Linked DNA regions of Rhinolophus ferrumequinum. The protein of the gene in region 3 interacts with the protein of the main gene of each other region in a pairwise test. Links are inferred from orthologs where the notes say so. Each region holds a gene or a part of one and is shown on either strand. Other genes may lie near its edges.

What was found.
Region 1: the proteins of zinc finger protein RFP (region 3) and FNDC11 interact in binary tests that used the Homo sapiens proteins (3 or more experiments, as listed by UniProt). The two-hybrid records come from large-scale screens. The link is inferred for Rhinolophus ferrumequinum from reciprocal best matches to the Homo sapiens genes TRIM27 and FNDC11.
Region 2: the proteins of zinc finger protein RFP (region 3) and ILF2 interact in binary tests that used the Homo sapiens proteins (3 or more experiments, as listed by UniProt). The two-hybrid records come from large-scale screens. The link is inferred for Rhinolophus ferrumequinum from reciprocal best matches to the Homo sapiens genes TRIM27 and ILF2.
Region 4: the proteins of zinc finger protein RFP (region 3) and BYSL interact in binary tests that used the Homo sapiens proteins (3 or more experiments, as listed by UniProt). The two-hybrid records come from large-scale screens. The link is inferred for Rhinolophus ferrumequinum from reciprocal best matches to the Homo sapiens genes TRIM27 and BYSL.

Annotation. Positions count from the first base shown.
Region 1 is NC_046306.1:485,294-492,522, forward strand, and holds FNDC11 (fibronectin type III domain-containing protein 11), read right to left. Parts: upstream 3,159-7,229; 5' UTR 3,098-3,158; intron 1,570-3,097; 5' UTR 1,567-1,569; coding exon 586-1,566; 3' UTR 370-585; downstream 1-369. Other genes in the region: tyrosine-protein kinase Srms, read left to right, coding at 7,090-7,229.
Region 2 is NC_046305.1:52,588,637-52,596,645, forward strand, and holds the start of ILF2 (interleukin enhancer-binding factor 2), read right to left. Parts: upstream 3,217-8,009; 5' UTR 3,118-3,216; coding exon 3,113-3,117; intron 2,397-3,112; coding exon 2,337-2,396; intron 2,141-2,336; coding exon 2,098-2,140; intron 1,640-2,097; coding exon 1,535-1,639; intron 653-1,534; coding exon 575-652; intron 232-574; coding exon 129-231; intron 1-128. UniProt on the Homo sapiens protein: Chromatin-interacting protein that forms a stable heterodimer with interleukin enhancer-binding factor 3/ILF3 and plays a role in several biological processes including transcription, innate immunity or cell growth.
Region 3 is NC_046286.1:448,899-456,403, forward strand, and holds the start of zinc finger protein RFP, read right to left. Parts: upstream 3,003-7,505; 5' UTR 2,745-3,002; coding exon 2,325-2,744; intron 1,378-2,324; coding exon 1,282-1,377; intron 1-1,281. UniProt on the Homo sapiens protein: E3 ubiquitin-protein ligase that mediates ubiquitination of various substrates and thereby plays a role in diffent processes including proliferation, innate immunity, apoptosis, immune response or autophagy.
Region 4 is NC_046286.1:11,618,447-11,626,718, reverse strand, and holds the start of BYSL (bystin), read right to left. Parts: upstream 3,178-8,272; 5' UTR 2,880-3,177; coding exon 2,618-2,879; intron 1-2,617. Other genes in the region: MED20 (mediator of RNA polymerase II transcription subunit 20), read left to right, coding at 3,363-3,376, 5,723-5,877. UniProt on the Homo sapiens protein: Required for processing of 20S pre-rRNA precursor and biogenesis of 40S ribosomal subunits. May be required for trophinin-dependent regulation of cell adhesion during implantation of human embryos.

The DNA.
Region 1 (7,229 bases), on a different chromosome or scaffold from region 3:
CAGGGCTGGACTGAAGGAGGGCAGCTGAGCACAGAGGCGGCCGCTGGAGCGGCAGGTGAGTCTCAGGACAGTGAGGCAGGTGAGCTGGGGTGGGGCGGGTACAGCCCAGTGCTCAGCCTAGGCCAAATCAGGAAGCGGGCCTCGGAGCTGCTCCTAGAAGGGGACCTGCGTGGCCCCACGGTGGCCTCTGGGCAGCTGCCGTTCTGGGTGAGGGTGTGAAACTGGGCCGCAGACCGGAGGCACTAAGACGAGGAAGGCCCTGCTGGTGTGCCTGGATGCACCTCCCTGGCGAACTCCCATTCCAGCCTGACCTCTGGCTTGGACCCGTATGACCCAGCACAAACCCGAATCCCTGGCCCCTGGCCTGCTCCAGGGGTCAGCTGTTCTGGAAGGTCCAGCTTGGGTCTCCCCTGGAAAAGGGACCAGGGGCTGACGGGGTCCTGGGTCTTGTGGGCGGGCTGCACCAAATCAGAAAGCAGTCATGTGGCTGCTTCCACCTTTAGAACTTTTGTTTCTATAATTGTGTGTTTATATTGCTCTTTATTAATGGATAAATATTAGAAAATCATCTCTGGGAAGCTGTGGTCAGGGGTGGCCCGGCTTGCCCAGCAGACTGGGGGCCAGCCCTTCGGGGGTCCCCGGCCTGGTGTGCAGAGTGAGGCTGTCCTCCCAGGGCTCATACACCAGCGTGTAGCTCTCAGCTCTCTTGACCGTGAACTTGTAGACGCGGTCGGGAAGCAGGTGATGGATCTCGAAGGTGCAGGTGGCCACAGGGACGATGCCACGCTGCAGGCACTCCTGCTGTGTCCGTGGGTCCAGCAGCTTGAATCGCAGTTCAAACTGCTCTGGGGCCGCCGGCTGGATGGTGACAAACCAGCGCAGGGTGGCCCAGTCTTGGTGGGCCACCGACTCCTTGCGGTCGAACATGACGGGCATTTTGGTGCTCAGCAGAAGCCGGATGTGGGGGAGCTTGGTGGCACTGACATCAGACACCAGGCGGTGTTTGATGTGCAGGCGCCCAGGCACCATCATTGCCAAGAAGTTATCCATCACGGCTGACAGGCCCGCCAGCCGCTGCTCCACGAGCGCCCAACCCGCCAGGAAGGGCCGTGGGTCAGGCGACTCGAGCAGGGCATCCAGCGCGGCGCGGCCGCGGTCCAGCTGCTCCAGCAGGTCTCCGAGCAGCAGCAGCTGAATCCTGGCCTGAGCGGCGCCCACTTTCTTCATGCGCTGGAACTTGCAGGGGTCGACCAGCTGGAAGATGGTGTGGGGCAGCAGTGGTGGGTTCTGGTCGCCCAGGGCCAGGTGCTTCGGCAGGATCTCAATGTGGTAGGAGCACCTTCGGAGCAGCTCCACGCGGGCATGGTGGCGCCTGAGCAGCTGGGGGCTCAGCTGGGAGGTCAGGAACTCCCGCAGCGCCGTGCGGTGCTCCATGTAGGTCCTCCATGCCTGCGGCTCCAGCAGCTGCCCGTCCTCGGCCTCCTCGGCCTCCTCCTGGTCCAGGAAGCGCTGGGGACTGTCCGGCTGCCTCTTGTCCAGGTCCAGGCCTGTCACCTGGAAATCCATCGTCTGGGAGGGTGGAGTGGAGGGTGGGGTGTCAGCTGGGACCAGCAGGCTGTCCTCTGCTGCCCCTTGCGGCTCCCCCGGGGCAGTGTTTGTGTGTGCCCCCTACACCAGGCCCTCTGTCCCTCTCAGGGGGAGGAGCTTATGGGGACACCTCTCTCCGGAACAGGCTGCCTGCAGGGCCGACAGGGCGGTCTGCTAGTCTGGGAGACAGTAGGCATGGAGGGGCAAACACTACTGACGGCTGTTTGTAAGGACACAGGGCAAGGCTGAGGCCCTGAGTCCTGAGGCCACAGTGACTTGGGCACACAGGCAGCTGCCGAGCAGCTGTGTGGCCTGGCAAAGGTCTCAGTGCCTCATCTGAAATGGGGTCATGGTGCTGCTCAGGCTCCCGAGAGCAGTGTGATCTGTCTGAGCAGCACCAGGCACCCCCTCATCCCGGGGACACCACTGCCTGCAGACCCTCCAGACCTCACCGCAGGTACAGAGCAGAGCCAGGCTTTCCCGCAGGCAGTCCCGTGGTGACCAGGACCGGCATGGGCGGCAGGCTGGCCCCAGGCCTCAGCTCTCAGGATCTTCACGATGCCAGCTCCTAGTTACCCAGCCCCTGCTACGTCCTGGGGCCTCGCGTGCCCTCAGGAGCTCACTGACTCCACAGGAAAAGGCCATGAGGTTGTAAGATCCTGTCACTCCGTCTCACAGATGGGGCACGAGGCTAAAATGCTTCGAGTTTGTCCTCAGTCCAGGCATTGAGCCCTGCCATTGACCCCAGAGCCTGAACCTCCTTCTGGGCCATGCCTCCCTGCCCCCCAGGTTCCCAGCTCTGGGTGTCAGTGGGAGGGGCCAGTGCACCTCAGGGCACGTCACAGCTGGATGCAGCTGTGGTCCTAGGCCCAGCTGGGGCAAGCTGCCAGTCCACAAGGACTGGCCCTGCAAGCTGGGGCTCCTTGAACAAGAAGCCAGCATCCCTGGCTCCTCTCCCAGGTCCCCGCCATGCCCAGGGACCAGCGGCTTCACTTGGGAGAGCTCAGGTTGTCCCAGCAAGCCAAGGCTTGGATGGATTACAGAGACAGCCCGTAGGTCGGGTGCCGTGCCCAAGAAGGCACCGCCAAGTGGCAGAGTAAGGTCGGGGAGTCTGCCTCCCTCCCTAAAGACCAGCCTTTGACCTTCCTGGGGAAGGGTAGCCAGACCAGGCCCTGGGCACAGCAGAGAGGGTATCTGGGGTGGGGAGTCAGGCGAGACCAGGACCCCAGGACTCGCGGCCTAAGTCCAGCTCTGGCCTCTGGAAGGAACTCTTGCTCCTGGATCTGGCTAAGGTCAGAATGTTTCCAGTCGCTAACAGTCTCCCAGGTGGAAAATGGGAAGACACCACCCTGCGCCCTGGCCCGCCCCCCAGAGGCCCCGCCTTCCTGACGCCCCTGCACACCCCTCGCCCCCCCACCCGCCACGCCCACCTCCCCGAGACCGACTCCCACCTCCCCCACCCCCTGTCCGCCTCCCCACTTCCCTCAGCCTCCGCAGGCCCGTACCCCACCTTCCAGCGCACCCACTTGCCCTGCCTCCGGAGCGGGCAGAGCCTGCGGCTTGACTGTGCGCAGAGCCGGGGAGCCCAGCTGCGCACTGCGCTGTCCGGCGGGTTGCCATAGGGACCGCGGGCCTTTGTGACGCCGTAGAGGGTCCGGAAAGGGGATGGGGCAGAGGGTGGGGGTGAGGGGTTGGGGGGACAGGAGGTGGGAGGAAGCCCAGGGCATCGGGGGTGGGGGGAAGACCCGCCCTGTCGGGTCCCAAGACTTGAGGGGCTGCGAAAAGACGGCCATGGCCGGGCTTTCTGGTCCCAGAACCTCCACGAAAGGAACCGCTCCTCTCAACCGAGTCTCAGCTTGGAGGGGACTGTCCATAGACTCTGCTCCCTTTTCTGGGGACTCCGGACGTCGCAACCAGAGGCCCGACCTGGGAGCCACCGCCATGGTCTGAAAGCCAGGTTTGCAGTAGGGTTCCACCGACAGGAGCAAACTGAGGCCGGCCACCCCTCTGCGCTGGGGACCCAGCCCGGAGCCCTTCTGCCAGGCTTTCGGGTGGGGGCCGACGCCCCTGCTCTACCTCCGGCCCAGCGCTGCCCAGAACCCCTGGGTGGAGCTGCCAGAGACTGTGACCATGTGAACTGACAGCAGGATCAGGAGCCCTGCCTCTGCCAGAGCACCCTTCCTCTCCTCGGCCTGCCCACGCCAGTGCCCCTGACGCGGCTCTGGACAAACGGGGTGTCCACAGCTCCAGGGAACTCCTCAGAGGTGTTCTCCGCCTCTGGAGCCCCACTTGTCACTTCCAACTGGGCTCTGGACCTCTGGGACCTTGCGGGCCAGCCAGGGTCTGCCACCGGCCGTGGGCAGCCTAACACCCCAGGCACTCCTGGCCCTCCGGGGGAGGACTGAGGTGGCAGGGCTGACCCTGGTCACCCGTCTCCTCCCCTTCGGAGGTGAGTGGTGGCCTCTCCAGGATGGGCGTCTGTCCCTGAGCTCTCTTCACAAACTCTTCTGTGGCCAGAGCTGCCCCCAGTGCACCCCCACCCACCAGGGGACCCCATCCTGGGAGGAATCGTCCCCTGGCCAGGCACCCATCAGGTCGGGCCTGGGGAGGGAGCCAGTGGGGCTGTGTCTGCCCTCCTCGCCCCGCCCTGGGCCCTAACTTAGCAAACGAGAGCTGCTGCCGCCATTGGGGCCCTGAGGGGCAGGGTTGGCTTGTTTGGAAGGGGGGGGCTGTCTGAAGGTTGAGTGGGGGAGTCTGGCACCTGAAAGGGGGAAAATGCAAAGCAGAGGGAGGAAGATGACTGCAGCCCCTCCACCCACAGCAGCTCTCACTTCCTCTCGGCGCCAGGCGTGTCCTGAACCTCTGACATCTCTTTGGCCCCACGCCCTTTTCCTCTCTTGTTCATCCGCTAATTTTTTTAAATTAAACTCTGAATTTTGAGGTAATCGTAGATGGCACGCAGTTGTGAGACGTCACACAGGGCCCCCCGTGAACCCGTTGCCTATTTCTTCAGAACTGCCAAGCAGGATCCCACCAGGGTAGTGATACTGACAGTCCACAGGCAGACGGCCCTGTCCCCACAGGGCCCCCACTTGGCCTTTTGTAGCCGCGCCTACTTTCTCCCCAACCCTGGGGCTCCTCCGCCCCTGGCCAGCGCTCGTCTGGTCCATCTCTGCAATTGTGTCCTTTGGAGAGCCTTCGTAGCATCGTGCAGCGTGAAGCCCCCAGGACCAGCCTCTCTGCTCAGCATAGTTCCCGAGGGCCGGCCACGTGCATTCTTAGTGGGCCCTTCCTCCCAGGCATGGGCCAGCTGATTTTGTCTCGCCCATTGTCTGCAGCCACTGGGCTCTGCTGCCCTTGGCAGACCCGGCGCCCTGAGGGTGGTGAGCCTGGTGGTCGTGAGGTCATAGCCCTGGGGGCAAGGGGTGCACCTGGACCCCAGAGACCCGATCGTGTGCCCTCCACAGAACACACATGAAGCCATGGTGTGGGGACACTGCCAACCTCAGCCTGAATGCCCGGGATGGCCGCTCCTCACCCTGCAGACCTGGTCTGAGTCCTCACTATGGCTATGAGCTCAGTGCTCTCACAGATGGGGAAATCGAGGCACAGAGCGCTCAGCACCTTGCCATGCGGCTAGTGAGTCTGACAGCAGGATTCGAACCTGGTCATCCGACCACATCCAGAGCTGTCCGGGGGCCCTCCCCCTCACATAGCTAGCTCCCAGCCCTGGGTTTGGTTAGGGCCCATGGAGGAGGTGAGGCTAAGGGGGCCCCGCCAGAAGACCGAGGAGGACTCTCCCTGCCTGCTCTGACCATCAGAGCAATGTCCTCAGTCCCAGAGGCCAGACCCCTTGGCTCTGAGGGACAGGGCATCTCCAGGATCTGAATGCTGACCTCGAGCGCGGCCAGCATAAGTGGGGCCCTCCCTTTGGCCGGTGGGTCAGGGGCTTCCTAGGAGGAGTCAGGTACGTCTGGGATTTAAGGAAAGCAATCTGTAAAAACCCAAATTGCTCATACGGGGAGGTGGGGGGTGGAGGCAGGTGATAGGCGGGCACTGCAGGCCCTGCCAGGCCTCCCCTAATTCTGTGTTTGTAAATGTTTGTTCCCGACCCCGCTCCCTGATCCTCTGCAACAGGATGAGTCTCAGCTGCATGGAGCCTGCCCCTCGGACCCCTGCCCCCTTCAGCCCATGGTGGGTGGCTGTCGCTGCCACGTCACAGTTTGCAAATTGTACAAGCTGCTCCCCCAACGGTGGCAGGGAGGCCCCCAGGGTGCATTCCAGACACCAGGGTCTGCTGCCTCTCGGGGGCAGGTGGATAGACACTTGTCACTTCTGTCGGGCCCGTTCACAGAACGTGACAACGTTTGGGCGTTGATTGAGTGTGGGGTGTGGAAGGAGGGTCTGCAGTCGTCAGAAGAGGGATGTGGGCTCAATAATGACGCCGGTGCTGAAGGGGCTGCTGTGGGGGGAGGAGGAGCAAGCTACCTGGGGCTGGGAACCGCCCACACACCCAGACACCCGCCCTGAACCCCTCCTGGATCCGGAACCAGGACCAGGCGGCCTGGGTTTGCTCTCCCGCCCTGCCCAGCGGCACAGGCTGACCTGGGCAGTGGGCAGCTTGCTTCAGTGTGCAGGGGGCCTGGTGCGGTCCGGGGAGAGGAGCAAGTGGTGGGTACAGGCCCTCCGTGGACTCACCCGCCACCCCCACATCACCCAGCGCATCTCTCTGAGGGCGGTCAGAGGTCAGAGCCTCCTCCCCAGGGTGGCCCTGAACTTACCCCCTCCTCCCTCACCGCTCTGTGCTGACTGAGCCCCACCCCATAAGAAACTCCAGCTGTCCTGCACGGGGGTGTTTATGATGTTAAAGACTTGGCCCACGTTGGAAGAACCAGGTAACTGTCCACACAAGTCCAGTGCACGGCTAGGCAGCTACTGGCTGGTGCTGCCCCTTCATAGAACCCCTCCTCTGAGGGCAGGACTCAGGTCACGGGCTAGCATGGCGTGCGCTTGTGCATGACCCTTCTCCCCTTGTCACACTGGCCGCCTGGCAGGACAGCCACCCCCTCCTTCCTAGGCCTGAGGAAGGGGTACATGTTGGGGAGGCAGGGGGCTGTCCCACGTTCCCAGCCGCCCAAGACCCCACCCCCAGGCTGCCCCAGGGCCACTCCTGCCCCAGCCCCAAGTGCCTCTGAGCAGCCCAGGACAAGTCCTGCCCACAAGACACCCTAGAGGTCAAGGAGAGCAGCGGCTGACATGTGGCTGGGGGCTGGAGGGCCACCCTGTGTCCCAACCCGGTCTGAACAGCCCAGAAGTGAGCAGGGGGCCCTCTGGAGTACCTGTCACCCACACCCCTTGCCAGCAGTGATGGACTCTGACACTCAGCGAAGCTCTGACACTTGCCGTCCCACCGGCCCTTCCAGTTTCTCCCTCGTCAGAAGTCCCCTCCCCTGCAGGGCCCTGGGCGCAGTGTGGTGACCGGGCTCCGGACGCCCCGGGAGCATGGAGCCCTTCCTCAGGAAGCGGTTGTCCTTCTTGTCCTTCTTCTGGGACAAGATCTGGCCCGCAGGCACGCCGGATGACAGCGTCTCTGGCTTCCCAGACTCTGACACCAACGCTGAGCTGGAGGCCCCCGCTGCCGA
Region 2 (8,009 bases), on a different chromosome or scaffold from region 3:
TACATTAAAAAAAGAAGTTTCCCATTTGTCTTCCAGCCTTTCTCAAAAGAAATTGGGGCTTTAGAGACCCCTCTGCCTCAAGCCCGACCACTGTGTCTGTTCCCGTGGCCAGAGAGAGGCCCACTCACACGTCGGCAGGATCTTTAGGATGACCACCAGGTCAGCCACGTTGTGTCCCGTAGTCATTGTTCCCTTTTTATATGAGCCCACCTGTCGGACTTCTTCAATTTGCTGTTGGAAGAAGGATTTCAGGGGGAAAAAAAGAAGTGAAAAGACTGCCTTCTTCCTTTGCAAACTCAACTACAACACAGCATTTTATCACCCAGACTTAGAAGTTGCAGAGGTCAAGTCATATCCCAAAAACCACATGAAAAGCCTGATACATCATGGCTAGCTGATAACAATGATGTAAGTCTTGTCCCAAGATCAGTTCCACAAAGGAATTCCATTGTATTTTCCCATTTTAGACTTGGCTTTGGGTAATAGATAATAGAAGAATTAAGAGACAGGAGCCAATGAAATTTCCATACTACCACGGCTGCCCTACAACTAGACTAGGTCATCAGAAACTCACCACTTCAAACGTCCCTGGAGCCACAATCAAGTTGTCAATCACATTGTTTATTTTTGTCACCAGAGAAAGGATAGAGGCCTGAAAACAGCAGGAAACAAAAATAAGCTACGGTGAAAAATTACAAGCAACTTCTCAGTTTGAATATTCCTCTTAATCCTTTCCATACAAGCTGAGTCAATTCCCACATAGTGCTTTAAAAACACTCTGACCCTCTGGCCTTGAGCATTCCAGAAGAGAACTGTTTGATCTCATAGATTCCCCAATAAAAATATGAACACATCTGTAAATATTTATATATTCATCTGGCACTCTCCCTCCACCCACAATGAGAAGGAGAACAATCAGTTGCTCCCCCCTTATCCAGTTTTGCGTTATGTGGTTTGTTACCCACAGTCAACTGTTGTCCAAAGATATTAAACGGAAAATTCCACAAACAATTCATAAGTTTTAAATGGCGCGCTGTGAATCATCCCTTCGTCCAGCATATCCACACTATATTCGCTCCCGGCCAGTAGCCCTCTCCATAGTAGCCTAAGGCCACGCCAGTGCCTCAGTCGTTCACCATTCATCTTACTTCATCATGTATGCGTGTATCATCTCGCATCATCACAAGAAGAATAAGAACAGTACAATAAGGTATTTTGAAATATCACATTCACATAACTTTTATTATGGTATATTATAACTGTTCTATTATTGTTAATCCCTTACTGTGCCTCATTTATAAATTACATTTTAGCACAGGTGCGTATGTATAGGAAAAAAGATGGTGTACATAGAGTCCGGTACTATCCATGGTTTCAGGCCGCCAGTGGGGTCTTGGACGTTATCTCCACTGTAAGAGGGGACCGCTGTGAACTCTCTGTGGAGTGTGGGCTCTGATCACAGTAACCTCACCAGTATTATTCACTTCTCTGGCTTTCTTAGTGAAATCTCAGGAAGGAAGCCAAAAGAATATACCTGTTCAGCAGAATTAGGAGCAAGGTCCTGATTCCTCTTCAACAAAGCCTCACTGAAGGAAGTTTCATCAGGCGCTGGCTTGACCCGGGGGAAGGCCATTTCACACTAAATCAGAAACAAAGAACTATGTACTATCTCTCAAAACCAAGAGGAGAGGTTGTTTTTCTGTTGCTACAATAGAATAAAAATAGAAAATTCTACAACACTTGTTTTTACTCCTTAAGATGTTCAAACAAGGATCCAAGCTGGAGGGAATAACCATAATCGAAGCTGTCACTACTTTTATAATAACAGATAGGCCAGAGATACAATTAACATTCAGACTACAGTCACGTCACTGGCAACAGTAGCCACAGATCTGACCCACCCTGCTTACACTGTTTTTGCATGTAAGCAACACACAGCTGACTCAAAACCCCAACTCCATTCCCTAATCCTTTTTCCTACTGCAACCACCATTTGACTTCATTTACAGGGAGATGCTGGGCTCCAGGAAACCACAAGTGAAGAGTGTGCAGGCTCCATTTCTATGGCAACGGGTGAACAGGGGCTATGGTACTCACCAAGTAGAAATCAAATGGGATGTGTGGCACAAATGGCCTGAACCTAAAACAAGAAAAACCACCCAAATTAGGAACCACAGAAATCAAGCGACTTAGCATGATGGGTCCAACTCCTTTGGCTTTGTTTCTGAACCACACAGCAGGATCGCACCAAAGCAGGTATTAGGCCCCTCCAAACTCCTGTTTAGGTGACTGTCGTAGACAGTAACCAGAGCAAAGAGGTTAAAGCTGGCACTCACCCTCCTCCTGGGCCTCCTCTGGAGCCAAAGCGCCCACCTCGACCTCGGCCTCTGTCACCCCTAGAATACACGAAAATAGACTCGAACGTGGTTTCGGCCTCGTTAAAAATATCACTCCACCATACCCCCGGTCATACAATTTCAAGTCAGCCTGCCGCCATCGCCCTGAACTTTCCCTTGGGAGCCGAGAATCCCCGCTCCGCGGCTGGCGCCCGCCTCACGTCTCCCGGTCCCGACGGCCAGCCTCACCCCCGCGCCCTCGTTCTGGATAATGTAGTCACAACTACACCAAACGACGGCGGGGCTCCCACATCGACCCCTGTAAGAAATACCCCATAATTCCCGGGACGCGCCAACCCTAATACTTCTGAGACTCGAGGGACTGCTCATTGAGTCATTAACGTCGCGAAACGTTCATCGGGCATATGCAGCCGGGCACTTGGCAGTGAGGATGGAGGAGCACGCTCCAGCCTCCTCAGCCTAGATGGGGGGAAGCGCGGTGCTCCTCCCGGGATCGGAGGACACCCCCTCCCCTAAACCCCGCAGACAGGCGTCAAACCCGCCTCCCCACTCCTGGGCCCCACCCCCATCCCAGGCCCAGGTTTCCCCGCCTCCGCGGCCTCCGACCTCCCACTCGCCCCGACCCCGAGTTCTCAGGTTTTAGGGCAGCCCCCAGACACGTGGTCCTTCCAGGTCCTCCGACTCCTTTCGGTCCCCCTCCCCAAACTTTTCGGTCAAACACCCCACACATTCCCAGAGGAATCCCGTGCCCTTACCTCATGGCGTCCTAAACCCCGAACAATGGAGACCACTCCAACCGCCCCTTGCCTCGGAGAAACCGATAACTGGAGAGGCGGCTTGCCGGCGTGTCCCAACAAACTCCGGCGTGATTGGCTCCCGCCTTAATCCTCCGCTTATGCCTATTGGTTTACTCTGGCAAGCCTGCTTAGGAACCAATAAAAAACGCCTGTGTGTCAGGAAGTAGCCAATAAGAATAGACTTGATAAATGACAATTTTTCTTACCAGACACTAGATGGCGTTATATAAAGATGTGAGCGAGGCCACGCAGAACACTTTCTATAGGAGTGATGAGTAGCTGAGATTCCAGATAGCAGAGTGGCGCAGCGGAAGCGTGCTGGGCCCATAACCCAGAGGTCGATGGATCGAAACCATCCTCTGCTATCGGATGTTTTTTTCCTCCCTCATATACCGTACAAGTTTTAACTTCAGTAAGTGTAAACACCACTTTCTATTTTTTTCTGCCTCTAAAAAGCAGCCTGGAGAAGCTGTTTTTACCATTAGCAAGTGAAATGGGGGGGAATAGGAAAGGAATTAGGCAACAATGAACACTAACGCAGAAGCGGATTTAAGAAAAGGGGGCAGTATATTGACTGAATCAGAGCGGGGAAAACACTGATGGTGAGGGACTAGAAGCAAAACTGAGGCAGCTTTGGAAACAGGTCTCAGAAAAAGAGCAGGGAAGTAGTAAGGACAGAAGGGCCAGACCCATCCCCGTTGCCCAGTTTCCCCCATCTCTCTTCTTCCCTCTCTACAAACTGACGGATTTCACCCTTTTAGGAGGTTTTAACAGCCACATATACGTATATACTGTATTTGCATTTAAATCAATCATATTACTATGTGCGTTGTCCCTCCTGTAATCTTTCTCTTCCCTACTTGCCTCCTTCTTTTGCACTATTACCTCCCAGTCTCTGTTAATTGAAAGTTACACACTCTTTTTCTACTCTTTTAGTTGGTTACCCTAAAAATTACAACGTGCATCCTTAATTTAGCAAAGTCTAATTTTATGTAATACTTTTACCGTCTTCGTGAGAAATGCAGGAATAATTTAATTCTATTTACCACCATTACTCCCTCCAGAATTATATACTATCGCTGTTGTGTAATTCTTTTAAGTACTTTATTGATGTATAATTTACTACAACAAAATGCACAGATCTTAAGCCTACAGCTCGAGAAACTTTGAGTGATGTAGCCCGTCCATGTAACCACCACCAGATCAACATAAAGAAATTTTTATCCCTTCAGAAAGTTGGTTCATACCCCTTTGCCCCGCCCACAGAGACAATCACTGTTCCGATTTCTATTATCATAGATGAGTTTTGTCTGTTCTGGACCTTCATTTAAATAGACTCAGAGTGTTTGTACTCTTTTCTGCCTCGCTTCTTTTGCTTGACACGTTTCAAGATTCTTCCAGGGTTTTGCATTTATCAGCAATTAATTTTTTTGTTTATGAGTAGCATAAATACACCATAGTTTGTTTGTCCTTTCTCCTCTTGATGAATTCAGGACCTCCAACTGGCTGAGACACAGGCAAACACATTTGGGTTGTTTCCAGTTTGAGGCCATTATGAATAAAGCTGCTATGAACATTTGTGTACAAGATTCTTGTGGTCAGATGCATTCCACATCTTGGTAGGTGTAAGATATATGTGCACAGAATTTAAATTATATATTTTCAATCTCACAAGGCATTAACGCTTATTAGTTAAATTTGTGGTCCTTTAGATTTACCGTTGTTAACGTTCTTGATTCTTTCCTGCAACTCCAACCATTCACCATTCATCTGGACTGATCCTTCTGCTGGAGAATAAGTACCCCTCTGCTGGTAGCTAATTTTCTTGGTTGTGGTTTGTCTGAACGTCTTTGTGTCACCTTTGTTTTTGAAGGACATTTTTTCTCTGGGTATCGGTTTCTAGATGGGACTAATTTTCTTTCAGCACATTTACAATATTCTTTTACTGTCTATGGCTTCCATTTTTACTGTGAAAAAAACGTTGTCAATCTAATGGCTGCACCTTTGAGGGTACTCAATACGTTTTACTATTTTAAAGGCTTTATTTTTTATTTAATTTCCCGCACTTTCACTCCGATGGATCTAAATAGGGAATTGTTTTTCATCTTATTTGAGGTTTGTTGAACTTGAATCTGTGGCTTGATGTAGTTCACTCACTTTTTAAGTTTCTCAGCCATTATCTGTTTACATATGACTTCTATCCTATTATTTCCCTCTGTCCTGGGCTCCAAATAAAGGTGTTTCAGACTTTCTCATGCTATCCTCTATGCCTCTAACTCTCTCGTATGTTTTTCATGCCTTTTTATCCACGCTTCATTCTGGGTAATTTCTTCTGTCCTTCCTTCTGATTCATTACTTGATCCTCAGTGGAGTCTAACTTGCTGTGAAACCCATCAATTGGTTCTGAATTTTGGTTTTTGAATATTTTGGAGCTGGATTTTCTACCTACTCTTAGGTTTTCCCTAGGAATGCAGCCTTCCAGGAACCTAACCCCAAATAGTACAGTGGTTTACCAGGGTTCTCACCCTTAGGGACATTTGGACTCCAACTTTTGTCTCACTTGCCCCACACAGCCTTTTTTCCGCCACCGATGCGGACCAGCAAATGACCCCAGGGTAAAAGCAGTCCCACTGCTGGTCTCACCTCTCTATTTTCCTGTCCTTTTCTGCTCTCACACCAATAATTCCTCACTGTTTTACTAGTGCTTTGATTTTTAAAAGATTTCATCCAACATTTTAGTTGTCTTCAGCTCAGGGATTAGACACATTATTTGGTCCACTATTGCTGATGGAGGAGCTCAATTACTAAATTAGATTTCTAGTCCAGTCTTTTCTTCTGAGCTCCAGCTCCACTAATTCAAGGACCTATTGGACACCTCCACCTGGGTATCTACAGGCACCTCAAACCCCATAAACTGAAATTATTATAATCTCCCCAAAACCTGCTTCTTCAGCTTTTCAACGAATGGGTCGATGTCACCTAGACTTCAGTTATTTGTATACTGTCTTCTCTTCCTGAAGTCCAGTTGATCTAGTTACAAAACATCTCCCTATAGTCAATAATACAGTCTTATGCGTTTAGACATTTAAGAGGGTAGACCTCATGTTAAGTGTTCTTCACACGCACGCACACACACACACACACACACACACACACAAAGACACAAGGAAACTTTTGGAAGTGGTGGGTATGTTTATTACCTAGACACTGTGGTGATGGTTTCATGGGTGTGTAAATATGTCCAAACTCCTCAAATTGTATATACATTAAATATGTACAGTTTATTGTGTTATTATATCTCAATAAAACTGTTTTCTTTAAAAAAAAAAATATATATATATATATATATCCCAATCTCCTACTCCTATCTACGTCTATGGAATCTGGAGCCCCACTAACAGAAAGAACAAAGACATCTCCTCCCAGGTAATTCCAACATCTTACATCCTACATCAGGGTTGTAAACATAAACTGCAGCCAGTAATGACAATGAGTAAACAGGGTGGCTAAGAACCGTGAGAAACTAAACATCTCAAGGAGGTAAGGGGTACTTGGTTCCAGCTGACGATTCAGGGAGAGATGCAGGACCTACCTTACCAGCTCTGCAATATTCCAAGACAAGCCAGAACTCCAAATATTCATGTACCATATGCTGGCTTTTAAGCGTGGGCAACTAAATTAAATATGAATATATATGTATATATATGTATGTATATATGTATATGTGTGTGTGTGTGTGTATATATATATATGAGAATGCAAGACAAACAACACATGCCCGCCATCTGAAGTTGGTCCATGGGCTACCGTTTGCTCTAGACCATAATTATATTCAAAATTCTCCTAATATTCCATATATAGAAAACGTACTTCAGTATTCTGCTCTCTCTACACAAAATACCTTTCTCATTTTTCTACCCTTGTTTAATTATTTCTCTTTAGAGGTTTTCCTGGCTCCGATGCAGGCAAAATAATGCTCACCTGGGCCTCTATGCAATGTATCCCATCTCTCTGTTTTGGTGCTTAACGATATTACATTATGGCTATTTATCCCAAATAGAGCTCCTCAAAGGTACGACTACATATATTTCTCTCTTTTGCCCTCAGCATCTAGCTGGTGCTTAACCCGTACGAGGTCCCCTGGAACTGTTTGCAAAACCAAGGAAGTTTGGGGACCTTGGGTCCTGCCCAGGCGCAGGTTTGGAGAGGTTGGCGGCAAAATACTGTCAATGACGCCTGTTGACCGTTAGAGGGCAGACGGATTCCACAGCGGTCCCGCCCTGCGGCCCAGCGGTCAAGTGCCCCCAAAACTTCTCCCCAAATTACGCCTCTCCTGGTCATTTTCAACACCATCTCCCACCGCCACCACGAACCCCATTTTAACAATCCTTCTCAACACAAAACACGCACACAGTCACATTGCCGGAGCGGCCCTGAGGTCACACCTCTTCCCCCCTCCAGCCACCTTCAAGCTCTCCCTCCCTTGCCCACAACCATTTGGGAACTAAAGAGTTAACTTCATCCTTCCACCGGGTCCTTTTTCTCCGCGGATGCGCTCCCTGGGGCAGGCGGGGTGGGGTGGGGCGATCCTAGATGGACTGGATCCCTGGGTCCCAGGGCTCCCCTACTTGAACGTCTTTTCCAGAAACCCGTCACCCTCCTGTCCCACCCCCATGCACACACCTCCACACACTCACACCTTGTCCTGCCGAGAGATCCCAAACCAACAGTCTTTCTCTCTTCCCCCGACGGAACCAGGTGAGAAAGGACAAGATGTGGGCGCAAGACGCCCCCGGTGGCTCCCAAACTCTTCTCTTTTCAGTCCTCCTTCCCATCCCGGCGGGGGGCCCCGGTC
Region 3 (7,505 bases):
GCAACCTTGGTGTTTTGAGCACCATGCCCCAACCACTGCGCCAACCAGCCACCCACCTGCAGCTCAGCTCCAAGCCATTGTTTTCAATCTAGTTGTGGAGGGTGCAGTTCACCCGCCCATATGGGAATTGAACCAGCAACCTTATTGTTAAGAGATAGTGCTCTAACCAACTGAGCCGTCCGGCTGCTAATGGGATTGTTTCTTGATTGCAGGACAAGTAACCTCCCTGCCCTACTCTCCCCAACCACTTGATTCTTGAGAGGGTAGTACTAGCCTTGCTGAAGAACAAGTCTAATCCAACCTATCCATTTCACAGATGAGGAAACTGAAGGCCTACAGAGGTTATATTCCTAAGTCCAGGTTCCCTGATGATCAGAGAAGGACTATCTCCCCTCGTTGACAATCCTCCCACAGAGGAGAGGCCATGTGCATAATGATTTGACTCCACTCAAGCTCACTAGAAGATTCTCCATCCATCAGACCTACTTTCAAGCAAGGAAAGCTGAGGTCTCAGCTTGTGTGGGCAGAACAAGTGGTGGCATTTGAGGATATCATGGGAATAAGTTCCCCGTCCACAAGTTCTCTGCGACACCCTGGCCAGGCTGACAAAATTTCTTACAAAATAGTGTTATATACTACTGGTCTAACAGTTTGCTTTTCACATGCAAATACTCCTAATGGGTAGAAATTTTTACTATTTATTGTTCAAAAAAATGCTTAAAAAACTAGATTGTGGATATGTAAGTGTTTATTATAAAAGTCTCTACTTTTTGTTTTGGTTTTCAAAACAAAACCCCCAAATATCCCTGTCATAAATTAGCCATTCGCTAAGGCTTTAGGAGACTAAAAGAAGGAAACAAAGTGAAAAGCTCAGAATTGAAGTGTTGTCAAGAAAGGGAACACTCCAGCAAGAAGCAACAGTGGGGCTTATGCAAAGCCACTGTCGGCATGTGTCTGCAGAAGGGTACCAAAGGAGGCTGGCTGTGCCCGAGAATTTCACCTATGTCAGCTCTGTCAAGGATCACCCGTGATCTAAAGAAAGCTAGCAGTTTAAACTTTGGATAGGTCGGCTCTCCAGGGTTCCCAACCTTAGCTCTTCCATCCTTTCCCCAAAAAATATGGGAATGCTCGGGTCTCCAGGTTAGTTCCCAACGGCCATATGGTCTTCCCCACCTTCACCTAGAAGTCTGGAAGACTTGACTGGACAATGTTAAGCCTTACAAAAGAAGGAGTAACCAGCAGAAGTGATATTATCTGTGAATCCCAAAGACACTTACTTACCAAGAGCTCAGCTCGTGCCTGCTCCCCCTGTGCCCGACGCCTCTTCTTTAAGTCTTTCACTCTTTTTAGGTGGTCCAGCTGGTTCTGGATTTGCTCCTAAGAAAAGCAAAAACAGTTGGGAAGTTCAGGATTAGGCAGATCTTAGCATCAGCATGGCTCTTCCGCTTATCACACATGCAACTCACATTCCTGAAGCCAAGTCCGGGATTACAGCCTGTCCTTGAACCAGGCACACGGGGTCACCACACCCCTCCTTTGGCAGGTTGTGTGTAACTTAAACTGAGTCAACTACCTGCCCCTGGAAGGATGCCTACTGCATGGCCTAGTGGAAAGGTGACAGGACCAGGAGGCTTGGAATTAAACTGGAGCTCTTCCACAGTAGCACACTGAGGAAATGACTTCGTTTCCGTGTTACTGTTTAACTGTGCTAGTCTGTTGGTTCAAGAGTTCACAGGGGCTCCATCCACATTTTAACTTAATCTTCGTAATAACTGTGTTACCTCTTATGAGTTTCAAAGTGGTTAAATAACTTAAGCAGTAAAGAGTTGTGTTCTTTTCCATGAGTTTCTGGAACAGAACGGAGCACAGGCAGTGCTGGGGAAATGCTTCTCGAGTAGGTGGTGGGCATCTACCTGCCAGGCGGGTATACAGCCAGTTAATGTGTCTGAGATCAACTAGGAGGCGACAGAGTACGAGCGTCTCTGAGGCTTGCCGATGTGCACGTGGTTTTACACGCATCTTTTATACGGGAGTGGGGAGGGCTCCGTGGGCTGTCTTTATGTGCCCGTGAACCGGTAAACAGACGCAAATAAGGAAAGGAGAGTGGGGGCGGAGGGGGGGCTTCTGGCTTCCTCAATCTACAGGTTTTCCTCCCAAATCTGTGTGCCGAGGCTCTGCAGCAGACAGAGAGGAAATGACGGCTGTGAACCACACGACCTGCTCAGCCATTTTCTAGGCGGAAAAAAGGAAGCCTCTTTGGATCTCTCCTCCCTTTGTCCGACACGCTCTCCCGCCCCTTCCCGCGCGGCGCGCCGGGCCCTCACCTTGAAGCCCTCCACCGCCTCCTCCAACGGCAGCACACTGTGGCCGCGGTGCTCACGGGAGCGGTCGCACACCACGCAGATGGGCATCTGGTCCTCCTCGCAGTACAGCTTCAGGGGCTCGCGGTGTTTCTCGCACACGCCCATCTCGCCTCCGGGCCCCGACGGCCGCTCGGTGCGCAACTGCTTCACCAGCTGGGTCACGTTGGCCAGGTGCCGGTTGGGCCGCATGTGCCGCTGCGGGAAGGTCTCCCGGCACTGCGGGCACGACACGTTGATCTCCGCCGCGCCCCAGCAGCGGGTGAGGCACGCGCAACAGATGTTGTGGCCGCAGTCGAGCATCATGGGCTCGGCGAAGTACTGCAGGCACACGGGGCAGGTGGTCTCCTGCTGTAAGCACTCGGCCACGCTCCCGGAGGCCATAGCGCGGGCCCGCGGGGGCGCAGGGGCATGGGCCCCAGAGCCCAGCTCTGCGCGGCGCCCAACTCTATAGCGCGCCCTCCGGTTCGCTGCCTCTGGGCGGCGTGGGGCAGAGAGCGTGGCGGGCGGAGGGCGGCGCCTCGCGGGCCCAGATCCCAGACGCGCCTGTGCACTGGCCCGCAGAGCGGCAGGGCGGCCCCCAGCGCCGCGGTGCCCAGCACCGGTAGCTCGCCAAGGCTGCGGCTCCGCTGAGCCCAGCCGCTAAGCGATCCGGGCGTCCCCGTGGGACTCGAGCGCCAGAGGCAGGACAACGTGGCCGCGTCGGAGCGGATCCCGGCGGCCGTGCAGACCCCACCCGGCAAGAGCGGAAGAGGCGGCTCCGAGGGCGGGGCTTGCCCGGGCCTCTCGCCACCGACGTGATTTCGTGGCCTCTGGGCCTGGACTCTCCTCCGGGAGAGAACCGAGGAGGCCTGGCCGCCCGCCCTAGGGCGGAACGCTCAGGAGCACGAGACTCGGTGACCGGTAACAGGCATTCGGTGTCTGCGGGGCGCGGCGGTGACAGAGCAGCCCTTGTCTGCACGCTCCGGGCCCACCGCCGAGTTTCCGCGGCCACGGGCCTGGACCCCTAGTCTTTGGCTGGATTTCCTCTCTGTGCTCAAGACTCAGCTCCGGCGAGAGCAAACTGGCTCTGCGTTGGTGTGGGAAGGACAGGCACCTGGCTTCCCCTGGAGGGACAGGGGTAGCCGACCTAGTCCCACCCGGTTTGTGAGTCGCTTTATTAAACAACTCCATTTACAGGCACTCGCAATTTTGTTTCAAAAAAGAAAGGCTTAATCAGACGGCAACATTCCTGTGGGACAAAGAGTCAGATAAACCCAGTTCAACTACTTCCTAAGCAGATTGTTTACTATTCTGAGCCTGTTTCCTCTGGTGAAATGGGAGTAACTGCACCGCACCAAGGAGGTAGACTTCATTATGTCTTTGCTTGTTTAACCTTAAGGACGTTTACCCGCTGCACGGAGTTGTGGTCACTAGGACTTAAACATTTGTGTTCTTTCCCAAAGTCTTGGGAGCTTCTCAATCCTGCGGTGACCTGGGCTCTTTTCATTGTCCAGTAGGTTTACAAATTTTTTGGGTTTCTCCCTCATCCCTACCTTGGTATTTCTTAGTTTCCTTTGCTGTTTTCTCAGTATTGTCCTTCATCCTCTAGATTTGATCGAATTTGGACATCCTTGCTTTGCTTTATCAGCTTGCCTCTGTTCCTTTTCATTTCCATAGTACGCTTTGACCTAAATTATTTCAAATGTCAGTTTGCAAATGTTTGTTAAGTCAATTAGTAACTGAGTGAATGCATATATAACAACCGCAAGGGACAGAATCATCCTGAACAGCCCCCTTTCATTTAGTCACTTCTCACACAGAAATCTTCAAAGCTTTTTTGCTTCCAGGACATTGTCCAAACCTTTGAGCGTGGAGTTCAGTCTGAGCACTTCCGGCCTCCAAGTCGGCTGCCATTCACAGTCTTCATACAATGCTGCCAACCCAGCTCTGGCCCAGGCTGTGCTCACCACAGTCCTCTCCAGGGCCTACTCATGAGTCCTTCCTTGGAGCTTAACCTAAACAAGTGGGTCTCATCAATCTCTCTCTCATCAGCCTCCGAGGCTCACGTAACACCTCAGATTCTGATACTTGGGTTATTTTCCATCTTAAGATTTTCTTTGACTTTGCTTTGGAATTCTTACCTATCGTTAAGGTTAGTTTAGAACAGTAAATGATGTGTGCTCTCACATTGTCTAATGCACTTTATGAATAAGGAAACTGAGGTCAGGTCCTTAAATGACTCTGTGAGGACAGAAGCTCCTCTCCAGCCCTTCTATGTTCTCCATTACACCTTTTCCATAGCTTTACTCAGATTGGCAGTACTTAAATGCTTGTTGAATTATTAGACTAATAATTAATGATTCTACTGTCACATTTTATGCATACTTCTTTGTAACAGTTATTTATTCATTCATAAAATGACTGGTACAAACACAAATGCCTGCTGGAGACAAGAAGGTAATTTAAATGAGCAGGTCAAATCAATAGGGAAAGATGGGGACTGTGACTAACTGGAGGAAAAATGTCCCTCCTGAGAGGCAGCTCATTTCTATTTAGCTGAAGATGACCATTGAGTATGTGGGCCCAGCATATTGCCAATTTTCAGATTTTCAAGAGAAGACAAAAATCTTATATGAAAATTTTATATGAAATTTATTATTAACTAAAAATTGTAAAATCATCTATGCAAGATGAAAATTGGCCTCCTGCCCTCCAGTGTGGGACTTCTGGTACAGCTATTTATTTTAGTAAGTGTCTATCAATCTTAACACAACATGAAAGGGACTATTGGTGACTATTTTATAGCCAGTGTCCGCTCTTTACTTAAAATTTTGTTCCAGGTAGCAATATGTCCAGCTGAAAGATACTTCCCAGGCCCCTTTGCTGCCAGAATTGTAGTAAATTCAAAAAGGCAATGCTACAATATGAAACCTTGTCTGGCTGGTTACGGATATTCCTAGGAACACCCTTACCTCACCCAGAGCTTCTTTCACACTTCAACAGTCTTGAGATTGTGGGTAGCCAATGGTATCTACATGGTAGTTTTTGGATGGGAATTTTGAGAAAACTTCTTAAAGAAAGTCTACTCAGCTGAGAAGTATGCCCTTTTTAAACTTACCCCTTCCAAGTTCTTTCAGCCTGGAGTGTGCCCATGATGGCAGGAGCTCAGGCAGCTGTCCTGGACCATGAGGCAATCTTGAAGATGGAAAGCATCACTAACATGATGTAGTGAAAGGTAAAGAAGCCTAGGTCCTTACTCACTGCAGAGTGACTGCATCCAAATTTCATCTATGTGAGTGAGAGTAAAGCCACTGTCTTTTTTAAGCCACTTATTTGGATTGTCTGTATATGCAACAGAAACTAAACCTATCTGATAAAATACAATTTTTATTAATAAAACGTTTTATTTTAAAATGAATTCCTACCTACCCCCTCTACACAACCTATCTGCCCTAAGAACACCAGTGATTTCTAAAAGTATGGGCTAAATCCAGAGGACACTATTCAGTCTGCATCTTATTGTTTCTGAGGCATTTGATACTGTTGACTCCTCTCTCCTTGGATTGGTTTTATTTCTTGGCACCAAACTGAGTAGGACCTAATGAGGCCTAAGGTATTTCTGCTTCCTCTTATCGTCTTTTCTCTTACCTGCCTTTACCATGTAATACTAAAGTTAGTCTGGGAAAACAAAAAGAATGGTCAGGAAAAACACAAAGCTACAATAATTAAAGTAACAATAAGCTAGTAGAGCAAAGGGACAGAATAGTAACTAAGAAGTAGGCCTAAATGTGAATAAGAATTTAGTAAAAGATGAAGGAGAAATTGCAGGTTGGTGTTACGCATTCAGTAAATGATCTGAACAACTGGCTAGCTGGGGGAAAACATAAAAAGATCCCATCTTACTTCTTATACCAAAATATATTCTAGGACAATGGAAGATTTGAATTTAAAAAAAAGTGAATCCATAAAAGCTCTTTAAAAAGAAAACTGACTGATTAAAAATAATAATCTGCCGGCCAGGTGGCTCAGGCAGTTGGAGCTCCGTGCTCCTGACTCCGAAGGCTGCTGGTTCAATTCCCACATGGGCCAGTGGGCTCTCAACCACAAGGTTGCCAGTTCGATTCCTCAAATGGCGCAAGGAAAGGTGGGCAGCGCCCCCTGCAACTAGCAACATCTACTGGACCTGGAGCTGGGCTGTGCCCTCCACAACTAAGACTGAAGGGACTACAACTTGAAGCTGAACTAAGATTGAAAGGACAACAACTTGACTTGGGAAAGAAAAAAAAATGTCCTGGAAGTACACACTGTTCCCCAATAAAGTCCTATTCTCCTTCCCCAATAAAATCTTTAAAAAGATAATAAAATAATAATAATAATTCTTGTCTGGAAGTTCTTTCCAAACATGATCCCAAACCCAGAAGCCACAAATGGATAAATTTGATTTACATAAAAGTAAAAAATGACTTCTATACAAAAAAAGTAGCTCTAAACAGTCAAGCAATAAAGGAAAATTGGGAAAAGTTATTTTTAGCAAATAAGACAGGATGAATTTCCTTGAGAGACAAAAATACTTCCACAAATCTAAGTAAAAAGCAGGCATGAGGAAGCACAAAGGATATGAACAGATGGTACAGGGAAAAAGAACAAGTGGTTAATAAATGTGAAAAGAGGTCCAACTCACTATTAATGAAATAAAATTATGTGGTGGTGCTTTCAATTAATGAGATTAGTAAAGATCAAAAAGCTCAATAATAGTGTTGGTGAGAATGTAAGGAAATAGGCATTCCAGTCCACTATGGGGATGTTAATTGGAAGAACATTATTGAGAATAATTTGGCAATAGCTCATGTTTTTAAATGCCCAAACTTTTTGAACCATTTGCTCTACTTCTCTCCCATCTGCACAAAAGTGCTTGATTATAGAAGGATGTCATTATAGCATTGTTTGAATTTGTGAAATACTGAAACCAACATAAATATGCTTTGGTAGGGGACAAGTTAAGGAAAATACTATGCAGGGTGCTTTTAATAATTATACAAGGACAACAGGTACAAATAGGAAATGTTCCAGATAAATTTGGGACAAATCATCACTCTTTCTTTGAAGACCCCACTCAAAAGGCTCTTCTACTGCACAGCTTCCACGTAAGTATCATTGGCCACT
Region 4 (8,272 bases), about 11 Mb from region 3:
GAGGACGGTGAGGCTCCGGGCAGGGGAGCAGGTGGAGCGCATTCCAAACCCGGGAAACACTGGCAAAAAGGCTTGCCGGTGTTAGGCGGTAGCTAGGAATAAGCCTAGCAATACGGGAATGTGAGGGCAGACCGCGGAGGGCTTTGAGGCCAGGCAGTGGAGTTAAGAGTCCAATGGACCAATAAATGATTATAGTGGGAGGCTCGACAGCCGGCTGAGTGTCTCGTAAGGGATGTAATACTCCACACAGTGAGGTGCAAGGCTGCACATGAACAGGTCATTAAGAACAGAGGGAGTGTGTCACAGAAGTTAAATGCAGGGGTGTGTGTGTGTGTGGGGGGGGACAGTTTGTCTCCACATGCTAACAACTCCCAAATCTGTACTTGTAGGTAGATATTTCGCTCCTGACCCTAACTCCAGCTGCCACCCGTATAGCCACTCATGGATGATCCACAGGCATCTCAAACTTCACCTGTCATCAACCCGAGAAGTCACTCTTTTCCTCCGAGGTCCATTCTACTGTGTTCCACATCCAACTACACAGCACCACCATCCACCCAGTGCTAAGCCAGTACCTGGGAGGAAGGCGAGCTGCATCCCCTCCTCACCCCCAACACCCAATCAGTTACCAAATTCTATTCCGTTCTACGTCATGGAGTAGGTGTCAAATTCTTCACAGCCCTGCCTAAGCCTAGATCAGCATCATCTCTTGCCTGGATTAATGTAACAATCCCCTAACTGGTCTCCAAATTCTCCAATAGTTTCCCAATGTCTTTCTGATAGCTTTCAATCCGGGCACAGCCTTCAAGTCTTTTGCAGACTTGGCTCCTACCCACCTCACCATCATTCATTCATCCGTTCATTCAGCCAACACTGAGTGCCTACCACGTGTGAGACACTGTTCTGGGGGCTGGAAACATAAGAGTGAACAAGACAGACAAAACTTTTTGCCCTGATAGAGCTTCTATTCTACGGGGGAGAGACAATAAATCAATATAACATATTAGGTGAAAAGACAAGTGCTAAGAAGAAAGAAACAGGGTGTAGAAGTTGGGAGTGTGGAGACAAGGGTGGGTCACAATTATTAATAGAGTAGTCAGGACAGGATTCTCAGAGAAGGTGAGGAACCGAGGGAGTAAGCCTGTAGGTGTACGAGGACAGGAACAGCCAAGGCAAAGGCCCTCACTGGCCATGTTTAAGAATAATGAAGCCTACACGCTGGAAATGAAGAGGGCAAAGGGGGAAAGCAGAAGAGGTTAGACTGGCAACAGCAGCAGATCTAGGACTTTTGAGTCCCTTGTAATCTTCTAGCTGTTGACTTATGAATGGACTGTAGGGGGTATGGGATATTAATGAGGAGGGTACTGTAATCATCCAGGGGACAGATGGTGGTGGCTTGAACAGGATGGTTTTCCAGGGTGCTGAGAAGTGGTCTGACATTAACTGAAGGTAGAGTCAACAGGATTTCCTTACAGATCAGATGTGACGTGAGAAAGTCTGAGGTTTCAGTCTTCAGCAAACGGAAGGATATCATACTGTTAGCTGAAATTAGGAAAATGTGGGAGGAGTAGGTTTGGCGAGAAGGTTTATTTTGAACATGTTAAATTTGAGATAGATTTCAAACTGGAGATGCCAAATAGGCAGCTGAAATACAAGAATTTGGGGTTCGTGGAAGAAATCAGGGCTAGAATATAAAGAAGGGAGCAGTCACCAAATAGATGGTATTTAAACGATGAAATGGATGACAGCACCAGAGAAGTAAGTGAAGAGAAGAGATCCAAAGACTGAACCTTGTGGCACTTCAGTAAGAGGTTGGGGACAAAAGAGGAACCGGCAAAAGATACTGAGAGGTAAGAAAGTAGTAACACAAGAATGTGATGTCTTGGAAGCCAAGTAAAGATACTGTAGCCAGGAGACCAATGTTCAATTGTGTCAGGACAAACTAAAGATGAGATCTGAAGAATGGATTAAGCAACTTGGGGGGTCAACACTCCCACCCTAACAAGAAAATGCTGACCATCTTTTACTTACTCTCTCTCCCTCTTTAGCCCCTAAACCACATTGCACTTTCTGCTCAGAGCAGGCAGGCCCCACTCACTTTTTTAGGTCTCAGCAAAAGGTCATGCAATCTGGGAAGTCTGACTCACCAAGACCACTGTTATCAGAGAAACTATACTTTATCATGGAATGTATTATTCTAACTTGCCTATCGGATTGTCTCTCTCCTAGACTATCTGCAAGTCAGGCACATGTCTAGCCTGTTTATTTCTTTACCCAAACCATCTAAACTAACACAGTGCGAATGAAGCGTAGTGGTAGACATCCCCTAAGTATGTATAGAACAAACGGATAAATACTAGAACTTGGTGGTGCGAGCAATCACTTCCTGTTGGACTAACTTCAAGGGGTGCCTAGAAGAGGGCTTAAAACTAGGAGTGGGCGTGGAGGGTGCTGACCACCCTAAATCCGCTCCAGGACTGGGTCTCTCATTCCATTACTTTTGCTAGCGTGTGCTACGGACCTCCCCTTTTTTTTATTCCAAGCTATTCCCCCTGCCCCACACCCGTCCACCCGCACCTAACCGCTCTCTTCCTCGCACCCACCCCCCGCCACTCACCCAGCCGTGTGATGCGCTCCCTGGGCGCCGCGGGCATGCCCCCAGTCCCATGCTCGGCCTCGAGTTCCTCCTGTTGCTGCCGTGCTTGCTGCAAAATCCGTCGGGTCAGCCGGGGCCCCACATACTCTTCCTCTTCGGTCCCGCGACCCCGCCGCTTCTCCCGGGCCCCTGCCCGCACCACGTCCCCAGCCAGAATCTGCTCGGCCAGCGGCGCGTGTTTTTCCTGACCTCCGGCCCCGCGGGCCGCCTTGAATTTGGGCATTTTTCTCCAAGAAGTTGCGGGGAAGGTTCACACGTGGAGACGGAAAATAAGTCCTGAATGCGCTTGCGCAGTGAACTCCCAGCGCCCAAGAGGCCACACGGAGGTCACAGCGCCCCCTATCGTCCGGAGGCCAGGAGTGCCGTCAGCGCCGTCCCGCCCGCTAAGAGCTCACAGGTCCTGGAGCTGGACTCCCAAATACACTTATTGCATTTAACGTTGGCTTCTCTAAGCTTTGTGGATATAGGCCCAGAGAGCTGCAAGCCTGGGTACTACATTCGGGCAGAGATGCCACTGGAGGCGTCACCGAAGCGCCTAGACACGCCCCTATTCTCGTGGAGCGACGACTAGGCGCTCTGTTTTTACGTCACTTCCGGAACCCCTTCCTCCCGCGACGCTTGCATCGGAGGAGTCTTCCCCAATGTGAGCGTTCGGAGGGCTCCGCGTTCCCACTGCTGCGTCCTGCCACCCTCCTGACCTTACACCATGGGAGTGACTTGGTAATACTGCGGGGGATTTTGTGGGGCGGGACTTGGGGTCGTGAAGGGCCCTCGGAGCCTGGAGGGTACCCGGGAGGAGGGTCGGGAGCAGGGTCGGCCGTCCCTAGGAGCTGAGCAAGATGTCCTCGGATTGTGTGGGTGAGGGAGACACCCTGAGGGCTGCGGATTCTCGGGCCTTGTTCCTTGGAGATACGCCAGCCTTCCTCCTGGGTCCCCCCCGCGACCAGGAACCTATCAGTGTTTGGGTACCTCCTTCGTATTTTTATTATTTTTTTTTTGGTACCTCTTCTTGCCGGTGAGGCCATAGTACTGCCCAGGGTGGAACTTTAGGGTCGGAAATAGGATGTGCGAATTAGGACCTATTTGTATGCAGGGCTGGAGCGGGTGTAGAATAGGCAACCAGGAGACTATCGTTTTTAGGCTTTCGCCTGCCCCTTCCTACAGCCACTAAATGCAGTTAGACGAGCCTGTCTGGTTCTAGTCTGGTTCTAGTTTGGCCATTGTAAGACCTTGGGTCTAGAGAGGAAAAAAAGAAGCTATTGGGAATTAGGGTGTTGGGGTCCAGGCATTACACTATGTGTAATTAGATGGTTGGCCTAATTTTTATGGAGTTTTCTTCTCACTAACGTTATAAGTCAGAGTGGCAAGGAAAGGTATGGGCCTAGTGCTCTTGGAGGTATTAGTTACAAAATGCTAAATTCAGGGCGTTTTTTTTCTTTTTTCTTTAATGGGTAAGTGTGAGCATTTCCAGTCACAGAGGGCTGGAGGCCAGGATGTCTGAAGTCCGCGGGAACAACTCCTGGTAGCCCAGGTTCTCGCAGGTTTGTCAGTGATTGCACTTTTGTTTCTACAGTTGACATCCCGAGCCTTCCTTAAGTTTTCTAGTGTGAAGGAAATGTGTGAGGGATGGGAATGAAAAGTTTGCAGCACAGAGGCTGGGAACCCTGGAAGCCCGTTTTGTCCGTAGAGAAGGCAGACAGAAGGAAGGGCCTCTCTGTGGGGACCCTTATCAACTTTTTCAGGCTCTTGGGACTTCTCACCCTAGAGCATCAGTTTAGGGGTTCTCTTATATTTCAAAATAAGGCACATCATCATCATTACTTACCGTGCTTTTTCTGGTGGAGAGTAGTAACACTTTTTAGCAACTGTAGGACTCTATCTTGATAGCTTCATTTAGTTGATTGATTATAATAAAGTAATGCAGTCTCCCAAAAGTCAGTCACGTATGACTGTCTTTATGATTTTTATATAGCTAAGTACCATCTGTACTCTTACTTGTTCATGTTTTCATTGAAATCTATTTCTTTTCCTTAACAGTATTTTAACAGGCACCTAGATCCCTAGGGAAGTGGTCTAGTGTGCTGGTTAAGACCACAGACATGGAGCCAGCTCTTCTGGCGTTGAATCTTGGCTGCACCACACCACGGTGTGAGACCTTGTTGTGCAAGTTGGTCATGCCCTCTGTACTTCAGTTTCTTTGTTTTAACACGGAGATAAATTATAGGACATCTTCTAGGGCTGTTGTGAGGATTCAGAATAATTAATTCATCTCAAGGCCGTTGGGCACTGTCTGGCACATAGTTGGGGCTTGGTAACCTCCCTCTCTGAGGAGGAAGCCAGTTTCACTCACCAGAGAAGGAAATCTTGGAAATAACATTTTTTGCTTTCTTGTCTTGATTAAATTCTTGTACGTGTTATTGCCTCTCCCAAAGTTTATACACTTGAGGCTTTGTCTTAGATCCTAGGGCTGTCAAATACAATTTTTTGCATTGGTGGAAGTGTTCTGTCAGCACTAATACAGTTGCCCCCAGCCACGTGTGGCTATGGAAATGCGGGTAGTGCAGCTGAGCAGTTGAATTTGTAATTTAATTTGTTCTGTTAGTTTAAATGGCTACATGTGGCTTGTAGCTGCTGTATTGGACAGTGAACGTTCAAAGTGTTAGAAAGTTGGGAAAAACATATGAACCCCCCATTGAGACTTTGTTCTTGATACAGTCAGAACTTAAAGACTTGCAAGGAAATCCTTTCTCGTTCTACGACTCACTGTTAACGAATGCTCAGTTTGTGTGCCCTACAATCTTCTCTTGAATGTTGGCACACATGCCATGCTCAGGAACTTCTGCGGTGATAGGTAGGAAGTTCACTGCACTGGTGACCTGAGACCTGTGCTCTGGTTCTCAGGGACTGTGGTCCCCTGTCGCCTCCTCTTTAAAACGAGAGGGTCCTGGTAAGTGGTCTCTAAGGTAACTTCTGGCCCTGAGGGGCTGTGAATCTGTGGGTGATCACATGACCCAGCAAGTGCCCGTGTGTCTCTGGGTACTGATGCTTCGGTCCTCTCCCTTCCAGTGTGTCCCAGATGCCTGTGGCTGAGGGCAAGAGTGTCCAGCAGACCGTGGAGCTCCTCACCCGGAAATTGGAGATGCTGGGGGCAGAGAAGCAAGGAACGTTTTGTGTGGACTGTGAGACCTACCACACGGCCGCCTCAACCCTGGGCAGCCAAGGTCAGTGAGATGGGTCTGCAAGATGGCTGGAACCTGGCTTGGAGCTGATAGGCCTTTGTGTTCATTGGAATCTTTCTACTCTTCTCCAAGGGTGTTTTTTTTTTTCTTTTCTTTTCTTTTTTTTTTTAAAGGAGGGCGCAGCTCAAAGTGGCCTATGTGGCAACTTGATGTTATCGGCACCACGCTCTAACCAGCTGAGCTAACGGGCCACCCCAAGAGTGGTGTTCTTGAACAGGTGGCAGATATGTTTCTGAATTCATTAATTCTTGGTCACTTAGCTCTTAGACGGGGCCTATGTTTTAAGTCTTTTTGCACTTTTAAAGCAATGTTTTTCAGAGAGTTGGTCACTAACTACATCAGAATCATCTGGGTTACTTGTTACAGGTGCAGTTTCTTGGCCCTGCTTGCCAACTGACTGGTGTTGCACGTCTCATAAGCTACATTTTAACAAGCTTCCTAGATGTTCTTTATGTCTCTGAAGTTTGAGAAGGTCTCCTTTCAGACTCATAAGTCTTTGTATAGCATTCTACTAGAGCTTTAGAGTTTTTAGAACTTTCTGCAGAAAGGCTTCCTGTTTCCCACACCTAGACAGTGCCCTTAGCTATCTCATTAGCATAACCTTGACCAATGAATCAGCTTTTGTTTTAAATGTATTAAGAGGTGAGATGGGCTGTGGGTGGTGGTGGTGGTGGTATTAAGGAGGCAAAGAGCATTTCTGACTGTGAGTTAGGGAACCTGTGAGTTAGGGAACCTGGGTTCTCTTAGTCTTGGCTCTGCAGTAACTTTACCTTGGACAGTTCCATCGCACGGTGATGGCGAGTCTAGATACACAACCAGGTAACTGTGTCCCAGCTCCCACTTGAGCTAAGTCCCGCAACCTGTGGCTGTTTTGGGGCTGATCATTTGCCTGTTTCCCCATAGATCCATTCCTTGAATTTCCCCTGCAAATTGCATTTACCAGGCACCCCTTTTTAGCTACCTTTGGCCAGAGAGGCACTGGGGAAGATGAAAGGACGGGAGAAAGGGAAACCCCAGTATTGCTCTCCCTCTCCTTTGGGGAGTGTCTCTGGCTGTGTCTCCTTCTTGGTTCTAGCTCCTGCTAGGCAGCCTTCATTCCTGGCTCTAATGACAGCACATCTTCTCTTTTTCCTTCCAGCCGTAGGGATAGCAGTGGCTCCCTGTGTTGCTAATCTTGGGATGATCTTATTATTCCATTTGGTTTTTTAGTTCTTCTAACCCCTGTGTTTCATTCCCTGTATTAAATCCTCTCTTATGAAACCATAAGATCTGGTAAGTAAGTGCTCTGTTTTTGCACCTTTCCCAATACAATTCTCTCATCTGTAAAATGAAGATAATTATTTTACAGTGTTGTGCTAATTAATTAAATAAGTTAATACGTGCAAAGCACTTAGAACTGAGATTGTCATACACTAAACCTTTAATGGTAGCTAAGAGCTGTACTGAGTTCCATCATCTATAAAATTGCAGTGTTACCATTTGTTTTACCTTCAGTAGGAAGGACATAATAATCAAAAGATACAATTACGAAAGCATTTAGAAAACAAAACATTTGTATATAGATAAACTACTCTCAGGAAATTACTTGGTGTGGGCTCTGTTTTCCTGATCAGACCTTTCTTTCCAAGGAGCTACTGTCTGTTTGGGGAGACAACACATTCGTGGCAGGACATGGAGTAGGAAGGGAAGAGCAGTGAACATTAGGTCCAGAGGCGTGGATTCAAGTTCCAGCTGCCGCTTGCTGGCTCTGTTGCCATTAGCCTAGCAGTTCTAACACTGGCCGTTAGCATCTCCCGGAGGGCGTGTTAACACAGATGGCTTGTCCCTGCTCCCCGATTTTCTGACTCAGTAGATCTAGGGTGGGATGGATCATTTGCATTTCTAACAAGTTCCCCCGGGGTGCTGCTGGTCTGGGTCCATTAGCTTCATTTTCCTCATCTATAAAAGGGGGGCAGTAATTGGTTCTGCTTGCTTTGTGCAGATAAGAAAGTACTTTATTGTGATTAAAAATACAAACAACTGGAAGTGCCTTTATTAAAATAAAACCTTAGTTGATTTTCAAAATGTTTTCAAGATAGCAAGAACACCTGCCGACTTACATGAATTAAGTATGTAGTCACAGTGAGTTTGCACAAGAACAGAATGACAGATCAACTTCGATGTCTTTTTTTTTGAGGGTTGAAGTGTTTGAACCGGATTTATCAGGCGGTGAAAGGTATGAACTGGCAGCAAGCAATCAGGAGGGATGTGGGAGAGGTTTGTGCAGAGCCCGATGTGTTCAGGAAATGGCAGCGGAGTGGGGGCCTCTATGGAGGACACAGCGCCCCCTGCTCCTCTGCTCCCTTCTCTCTTCCATGGCTGCACTCATTCCAGCCTT